Cricetulus griseus: one gene and its partner. The protein of the gene in region 1 purifies or fractionates together with the protein of each later gene. This does not show direct contact. Links are inferred from orthologs where the notes say so. Each region holds a gene or a part of one and is shown in the gene's direction. Other genes may lie near its edges.

Region 1 (4,108 bases):
GATAACTCAAGCCCAATGTAACAATTCACTGCAATATGCTCAAAGTCTATCTTATTCTAGATTCTAAAATAGATTAGTAGAAGTAGGTTCCAATGACTTTTTTCAATGTCTTCTACAAGTTGCTTAAGACAAGATCCTTATTAGACACTAGGAGAAGGACATTATTCTTTCATAGAAGAAGCACTTTTGGTAAACAATTGACAATAGAGAACATTCTACTCCCATTTCTTGGAATCTCCCAAAAATTCACATACCTAGCTGCGAAAAGCCTGTCACTATCCTTAATATCTACCCAACAGCTCCTAAGTAAACTATGTAGCAGTAATGGTTCAAGGTGGTGTGGGGAACTCACTCACTCTTGTAATCCTAGCATCTGGGACGCAGAAGAGGGGTTCCTCAAGTTTCAGGACAACCTGGGCTAAATATTAGCAAGATCTTGACTAAAAGAAAGCGGAGCATGTTAGTGCACACCTTTGACCTCAGCACCAGGGGAGGCCAAGGCAAGAGGATGTCTGTAAGTTCGAGGCCAGCCTGGTCTACAGAAAAGAGTTCCAGGGTATTTAGAACTCCATAACAGAGACCGGGTCTCAAAAACCAAATCAAAATAAAATTAAAAAGCACGGTACCATGGTACTGATTGAGAACAACCTCGAAGGCACCGGCAACTACTCTTACTTTAAATAGAAAACTTAATTGTACCTATTCTTAAAGAGGGGGAAAATAAAGTATGCTTCTAACAGTTTTGGAAAGTTCTAGGAGGTGGTGTGCTCTGCAGAAGGGAGAGAAGCAGGAAAGAGACATTCTGGAGTTTTCCCCCACGCGTTATCCCGCCTTTACACTTATTGGTAGTCTAGGGGCTTACCTGAGCCGACGATCCTGGGAAACCAACTTATCTTTTCGTTTCTCACGCAGCTTCACGCGCCTGTCATTGGCGGTTCCTTATTATTTCATTGGAACACCCCCAATTTGGGGAAAGCCACACCTGAAGCCACGACAGGGTGGAGGAGCCACGGCTTCCCGCTCTTCAGAGGACCGACCGCACCGGGTTGAGGACAGGGTTCTAGTCTCTCCTCAGGACGCTCTCCCGCTGTCCTCCGTGGAGGAGAGACAGGGCTTGCGAGGCCTATAGACTTAGAAAGAGCCGGACGCAAGGACAGGTGGCGGCTTAGCGATGACTCTGGCCATTGCCGGTGCCTCACCACCAACTACTCGGCAGGAAAGCTCTGGACTCGAATTCCGCGCCCTCCCGGAAATGACGCACGAGGTCTCCGGCCAGATCCTACCCTCTGCCTTCCGGTTCCGGGCCTCGGGCCCGCGCGTGCGCAGTTATTCCTAGCTCCCGTGGTCTACACGAGGCGAAGAATCATGGAGGGGTCATCGTCTGCCTCTCCCGCGACTTCAGCCGACACAGCGACCGCCATGCAAGCGACCCCGGCCGCTCTGGAACATCTGGACCAAGAGCAGGCGAGTGATTTGGAGGACAGCGATTCGCAAGTGGGGTAGTTAGGGCCCGCGAGAGCCGCGGGGTGTGGAGAGAGAGGCCTGGATATTCAGAGCGGGCCCGAGACTGCGTGGGAGCCCCGGAACCCGAAGGAGGTTGCTGAAATGCACCCCTGCGGGTTCGCTTCCCTCAGGTCTATGGCCTGTTTGCCTCCTGTTGGAAGTGGGCTTTTCTGTGCTCCATTCTTCAGGATTCCAAGACATTTGCACGAGCGAAAAATAGGGTGCTCAGGGACGGGCACATGAAGCTCAATAGCTGCTCCCAGCACTATGCGCTTTTCCTGGCTGTTTCCTCGCTCGTGGAGGGCAGGAGAAGCTTCGGTATATATAGCTTGCTCTCGTAAGTACAAAGGACACCTTGTAAACAGATACCGGAAGCAGGTACTTGGGTGTTCTTGATGGAATGAATCTTAAATTGCCCTGGGCCCAAATTCTTTTTTTTTTTTTTTTTTTTTTTTCGAGACAGGGTTTCTCTGTGTGGCTTTGGAGCCTATCCTGGCACTCTCTTTGGAGACCAGGCTGGCCTCGAACTCACAGAAATCCTCCTGCCTCTGCCTCCCGAGTGCTGGGATTAAAGGCGTGCGCCACCAACGCCCGGCTGGGCCCAAATTCTGAGAGACCAATACGCTGATTGAAATTTGCCCCCCCAAAAAGAAAGAGGAGCAAAGGAAACAAATATGTTTGTATATAATATGTATATGGGAGCAATGATTAACCTAAATTTCTGTATCTCTGCAGATTAAAAGGGCGGTAGAAGTTCTGTTTGCACACTCCAAGTCAAGGAAAAAAAATGAGTTGCTTATGAATGGGAATGAGAATTTATTTTTAATGGTGATATTATGGAAAATTCCAGCGAAAGAACTGCGAGTCCGAGTGTAAATTCTAAGTTCTAATTTATCTGTTTGTTTTGATTCTGTGGCTTGTCTGTCTCCCCCCCCCTTTTTTTTTTTTATGGTCTCGTTACAAAGGCTTGCCTGACTCCAAACTTACAGGAATAAATCTGCCTCTTAAGTGCTGGGGTTAAAGGTGTTCACCAATGTGCTCAGCCTTTAAATTTTTGAAACTTACTTAGCGTGTGTCTGTCCAAGTATACAAATATGTGCCACATATGTCCAGAGGCCAAAAAGAAGGTGTCAGGTTACCTGGATCTGGAGAGAAAGGTTTTGAGCAGCCCAGTGTGGGTACAGGAAACAGAAATCAAATCACAGCAAATGGTCTTAACTGCTTGAGTACCTTGGATCCTGCTTGAGAGCCCTCTCTCAACCCCCATATTTTGGTGGGGGTTGAGACAGGGTTTCTCTGTGTAGCTTTGGAGCCTGTCCTGGCACTCGCTCTGGAGACTAGGCTGGCCTCGAACTCACAGAGATCCACCTGCCTCTGCCTCCCGAGTGCTGGGATTAAAGGTGTATACCACCAACACTCATCCCCATATTCTTTTTATAAGTTATTTTAGAGTGCTGGGCAGTGGTATGTAGAGTTGGTAGATATAGCAGAATTTAAAAAAAACAGTTATGTTGGTGTAAGTGGGTCCTGTGCAAGATTGGAGAACCTCTTATTCTAAGAAAAAATAATTTGTGGTCACTCTCAAAGTCTTACTTGACAAATCTTAGATGTTATGTAATAACATGCTTGCTCTGCTTATCAAAACCAGTATGTGGGGATATAGCTTTTTTTTTTTCCAAAAAAATGAGGGCTCAAGGAGCTTTAAAGAGGAAAGACATTTGATTTCCAAATTTTTGTGTGTACAGAAGCCTGTGGGAGTCAGAAAAGATCAGATCCCCTGGAAATGAAATTACAGATGGCTATAAACTGCAATGTGGGTGTTGGGAGCCAAACTTGGGTTCTCTGAAAGAGCAACCAGTGCTCTTAAATGCGGGGCCACCCCTGGAGCCCCTACATTTTAACATGTGTCTGTTTGTAAACTCGTTTTCATGTATGTGAGCACATGAGTGTGGTGCCAGGGGACATCTTTGGCTGTCTTCCTTGGAAGCATCATCCACCCTCTCTTCAGGAAGGTCTTGTTTTGTTGAGCTCATTGAGTAGGTGGACTAGTTGACCACCAGAGTCCTGCAGATCCTCATGTATTCGCCTCCACCTGAGATAACTAGTGCACCAACCTCTTTGACATAGATGCAGGGATGAACACGGATCCTTGTTTGTACAGTGAATGCTTGAAGCTCTCCCTGGGCCAAAGAATCTGGGTCTTTCTTGTGTTAGGTAACTGCTCTACAGTGAGCTACACTCCCAGCCCTCTGTTAAGACAGGGTTTCTCTGTAGCTTTGGAGCCTGTCCTATAACTCACTCTGAATACCAGGCTGGCATCAAACTCACAGAGATCCATCTGTCTCTGCCTCAAGAGGATTAAAGGCATGCCCCACAACTGCCTGGCCCTCTGCATTCTTTATTCCCACATCTTTGCTCAGTTTTTCACCTTGATTTATGTCACTTGTGGGAAGGTGTCGACCCCTCTCCCCCTGGTACTTTTGGCATTTCTTTTTCTGTCTTTAAAGCTGGAATTATAGGCATGCATCACCACACCTTACTTGCTTTCATTCAGACCAGGTCCCAAAAATTGTTGTTCTCTGAACCCACATATGTGCCACACATC
Region 2 (4,294 bases), on another chromosome or scaffold:
TGGGTTAAAGGTGGAGCTGAAGGCCAGCCTGGTAGCCTGGTCTGAATAGACAGCTAGGACTGCATAGATTAGAGAGACCTTGTCTAAAAAGGAAAGAAAGAAAGGGGGGTTGGGGATTCTAACAAAAAAACGGCATGTTCACTACTGACAATCTTGAGTATTTCCAGTCTACAGCTGGCTGAATCTAGTTAGAGGGCTGACTACATACCTTGGTCAATGTAACACAACACCAAAGGACCAAATACACATTATTTAGTACCTCTGCAAGGAAACCTCCTTTTCTTTCTTTCTCCAGCTCTAGGGGCTAACAACAGGGCCCTGTGTAAGCTAAGTAACAATGCTTCCACATGCCCAGTCCTTTTGTTTGAAACAGGATTTGGCCAAGTTGCACAATCCTCCTGTCTTGGCCTCTGGTACTCTGGGATATTACAGGCAATGTGCCACCACACCCAGGAAGAAAAATCTTTTGAACAGTGTTGCAGCAGCCACTTGAACTATCCTGTTATCTGAAACCCTCGATGACGAACTGAATATAGGTGCCGAAGAAGCACACAAAAGAGTACACATATGTTCAAGAGGTTCCGTGGACATGACCTGATCATTACACGAGAATTAGTCAGTCATGCACATTTTAGGTCCTATTCTTCATCTATTAAGTTAGAAAGCTCCGGTTCTGGAGCTCAACAAACGGCTCACAAGCCCCCTTCAGTGATGGTGACTCACAAACCGGAAACAGTGTGCGCCGAGGCCTGATCCCTAAGCAGCGCGGCACAGGAGGAGCGCCAGAGGGCGAGGTGAGCCATAAGGCGGGAGCCGTCAGTAATCGGATGTGTGTGTGTGTGTGCAACCTTCCTTCTGTTCGGCTGAGAGCAGGGAGAGCTTTCCGTGAAGACAGCGGGAAGCCTGCCATAGCCTTGCTTTATGAGAGAAGCCGCTGCAGTAGCTCAGTGACAAGAGCATTCGCCTCGCTAGCACCAAGTCCTAGGTTCGCGCCCCAGCGCCGCCCGAACCGCGACCATCCGGTCAAGAAACCCCCAGTACAAATAACTAAGAGAAAAACATTACTTTCTCTTGCCGAGCTTGGTGTCCCTAAATAACAGAGGAGCCTTGGTCCTTTGCCAGCCCCCAAACCAACCACGACCAGGCTGGGGCTCGACGGCGACCGCCTCACCCGGCATCCTAACGGCGCCCCGTGGGCCGCTTCCGTGGAGGCGAGTCCGAGTCCGTGCTCTCCCGACCGTGCCAAGTCGCCCGGCCCATCCACCACCTTCACTCCCTTTCAGAAAGCCGTCACTTCACCTCCTCAGGGACACACATTCCACTTTCGAATTTCTCCCGCGAACTGGCGTGACGTCATCAAGCAGGGACGCCGCCGCCGCCGTTCGCAAACCACCAATGGAATTCCTCCTCGGAGGGCGGCCACCGCCTTGCTCCCTCCCAGACCCCGCCCCCGGGAGGCGTCGCCCGTGACGTCAGCGACGGGAGCCGCAGCTCGGACGGACCCTTCCACAGTGGGCTGAGAGAGGCGCGTCGCTCGCCGGATGACGCAAATTTACGCCGACTCGAAGGATCGGGAGACAGAAAGCGTGGAAGAAGGCAGCCGCTGAGCGTGGATTTGGGGACGTGACCAGAGTAAGTCACAAATGGCCTGTGGGGCCGCGCAGACCCGGAGAAGCGTAAACTCCTGAGTCCGGGCTCCTCCGGTCATCTGTGGTCCGGCCCACCCCGCCCCCCTCGCCACCAGTCCGTTGGTTTGGCCTCTCCGTGCGCACGCGCAGTCCTCCGGCGGCGCTTGCAGTTCCAGTGTTCGCACGGAGGGGGCGGGCCGAGCTTAGTGTCGGCAGGTTCGGGGCACGCCCGGCTTCTGGAGCGTGGGGTGGGGGGGTGGTCGGTGCGGAAGTCCAGTTGCTGCGTGGAGCTGCGGCCGCTAGCTAGCTGGGCAGGTTGCGGTAGAGCTTCGGCTTCCCCAGGACAGCGGTAGTGAGGACTTGCATCCTAAAATTCAGTCTTTTCTTTTGCAAGACCTTTAGCCTCCTCTAGGAAATGCGTTTTAAAGGAGGAGCTAACAATAAGCGGTGAATGTAAGTTCTGAGTGCGTTTATGAGGAGCTAAGGGGAAATCTGAGTGGACAGTTCACCGAGACTGGAATTCCTCAAGAATACTACTACATTTAGTAGTCCTTCGAAGCCGGGCCGTAGTGGGAAATCGGATGGTTTTCCAAAGCATATTTACAAGGTTCATTCGGAGCAGTGATCCAGGCCACTGTGGTTTTGCTACCTTTGAATAGTCTTGCCATGACTGTAACTTTGGTTCTCAATCTTTTGGGTACACTTCTTTTTGTTCATAACCTGAAAAATGTCATGGCCAAGTTTCTTTGGAAATTTTGCATGTACCCATTTTGCGTATGATTTTAACAAGCAAAAAAAGCTACTTTGAAATTGAAAAAAACAAATGTTTGTATCTAGTAGAGTTTGCCTCCAGATTACCTATCGCATTGACTGTTTTTAAACAATGTTACAACTTTTTAACTTTTAGAAGAGCAAGAAAAGGGAAATCATGTTTGCCCCAGGAGGATGTAATTAATTACTTCCCTGACCAGTGTCTGTTAACATTCATTTCAACTTTCTACTGCATATTGATCTGGTCTTTGCTCCTTTAAATGGATATGTAGCACTTAATTTTGCCATATTCATTTTTGTATTTGTACAAGCATAGTTTTACCTTTTCTTTTAAATTTATCTTATAACCGTCTCATGGGTTCCTAGGATTTCTTGAAACTTGCCTGAAACATCATAGACTTCAGATTAAGAATTCCTGAATCAGAATATGATATGAATAGTGACAGATCGTAAAAGCTTCTACTAAAAGGCAGGCAGTGGAAAAGTCAAACATCAATGTTTGCTTACCTAGCTAGCTTTGACTAAGTTACATAACCTTTCAGTAGGATTGTCAAGATTTAGAACAATGTACATAAAGTAACTGGCATTGTTTCACTTTTTCTTTTTTTATTCTTTGTTCCAAGACCATTGGGGGAGTGCTTTCACACAGGGTTTCTTTGTGAAACTCTGGTGTACTGAAACTCAATCATCTGCCCACCTCTGCCTCCTGAGTGCTAGAATTAAAGTTGTGTGTCACCACACCCATTTAACAATATTTAAATATTTATGATGTTGCAACCTTAGAAATTACTTTCACAAACCATGTCAATGTTATGAACAGGTGACAAACAGACGTCTGTAAAGCATAGATGACTTCTAGATCATGTTTTAAACTCCTCATATTCTAATGGCAAGTGTGGAAAACACTAAATGAGGGTGAGAGCCATTTCAAAGACCAAATCGGTAGGATTTAGTGACCAATTGGTAAAGAATAACATGGCCATGTGTTGTGCAGCTGTTTTTGTTTTGTTTTGAGAAATTTTTTAGTTTATATATGTATGTGTGTCTGAATGTATGCATGTATTTCACATGCCCACAAAGGTCAAAAAATGCATTGGATCCCCTAGAACTAGAGTGATAGGAGGTTGTGAGGTTTGTCTTTTTTTGGTTTTGGTTTTTCGAGACAGGGTTTCTCTGTATTGTTTTGGAGGCTGTCCTGGAACTCGCTCTGTAGTCCAGAGCTGGCCTCTAACTTACAGAGATCCACCTGCCTCTGCCTCCCGAGTACTGGGGTTAAAGGCATTCGACACCAACCAATGCCTGGCGTTCTTGTTTTTTTTAATAATTTGTTTATTTTTATTTTATTTGCATTGGTGTTTTGCCAGCATGTTTGTCTGTGTGAGCTTGTCAGATCTTGGAGTTACAGGCAGTTGTGAGCTGCCATGTGGATGCTGGGCCTTGAACCCAGGTCCTCTGGAAGAACCTTCAGTGCTCTTAACCACTGAGCCATCTCTCCAGCCAAGGTTATGATCTTTGCCGTCAGTGCTAGAAACTGAACCTGAGTCCTCATGAGCAATGAGTGTTCTTAACCACTATGCCATCTCTTGCAAACCTCCCCACATCTGCATTTTAAGTGCTTAAATTGCGTTTTCTTTAATTGATCTTCACAGTAACTCTATTATATATACAGACAGATTTGTGTCCACATTTTATGGACCACAGAGATGAGGAGATTTGCTCCAAACACATACAGAGCTTGCTTGATCAACTTTGTGGGTTATGGTGTTAGCATTACTGAGGATAAATAGGCTTTGGAAAGAAAGGATATGTTTTCTTTGGGATGTTATTGCCATAGAACCTTGGGAAAGTACAAATCGAATTAGGAGTATAGCAAGGACTGAGGAATAGTTCAGTGG

What was found. Proteins that work in one complex are often made in the same cells at the same time.
Region 2: the proteins of Rsl1d1 (region 1) and Larp7 purify together in Homo sapiens (affinity purification with mass spectrometry; 3 studies listed by BioGRID and IntAct, with this or other methods). This does not show direct contact. The link is inferred for Cricetulus griseus from reciprocal best matches to the Homo sapiens genes RSL1D1 and LARP7.

What each region holds. Positions count from the first base shown.
Region 1 is NC_048600.1:35,513,523-35,517,630, forward strand, and holds the start of Rsl1d1 (ribosomal L1 domain-containing protein 1), read left to right. Parts: upstream 1-1,308; 5' UTR 1,309-1,365; coding exon 1,366-1,464; intron 1,465-2,238; coding exon 2,239-2,375; intron 2,376-4,108. UniProt on the Homo sapiens protein: Regulates cellular senescence through inhibition of PTEN translation. Acts as a pro-apoptotic regulator in response to DNA damage.
Region 2 is NW_023276806.1:31,269,396-31,273,689, forward strand, and holds the start of Larp7 (la-related protein 7), read left to right. Parts: upstream 1-1,494; 5' UTR 1,495-1,632; intron 1,633-1,896; exon of another isoform or gene 1,897-2,081; intron 2,082-4,294. UniProt on the Homo sapiens protein: RNA-binding protein that specifically binds distinct small nuclear RNA (snRNAs) and regulates their processing and function.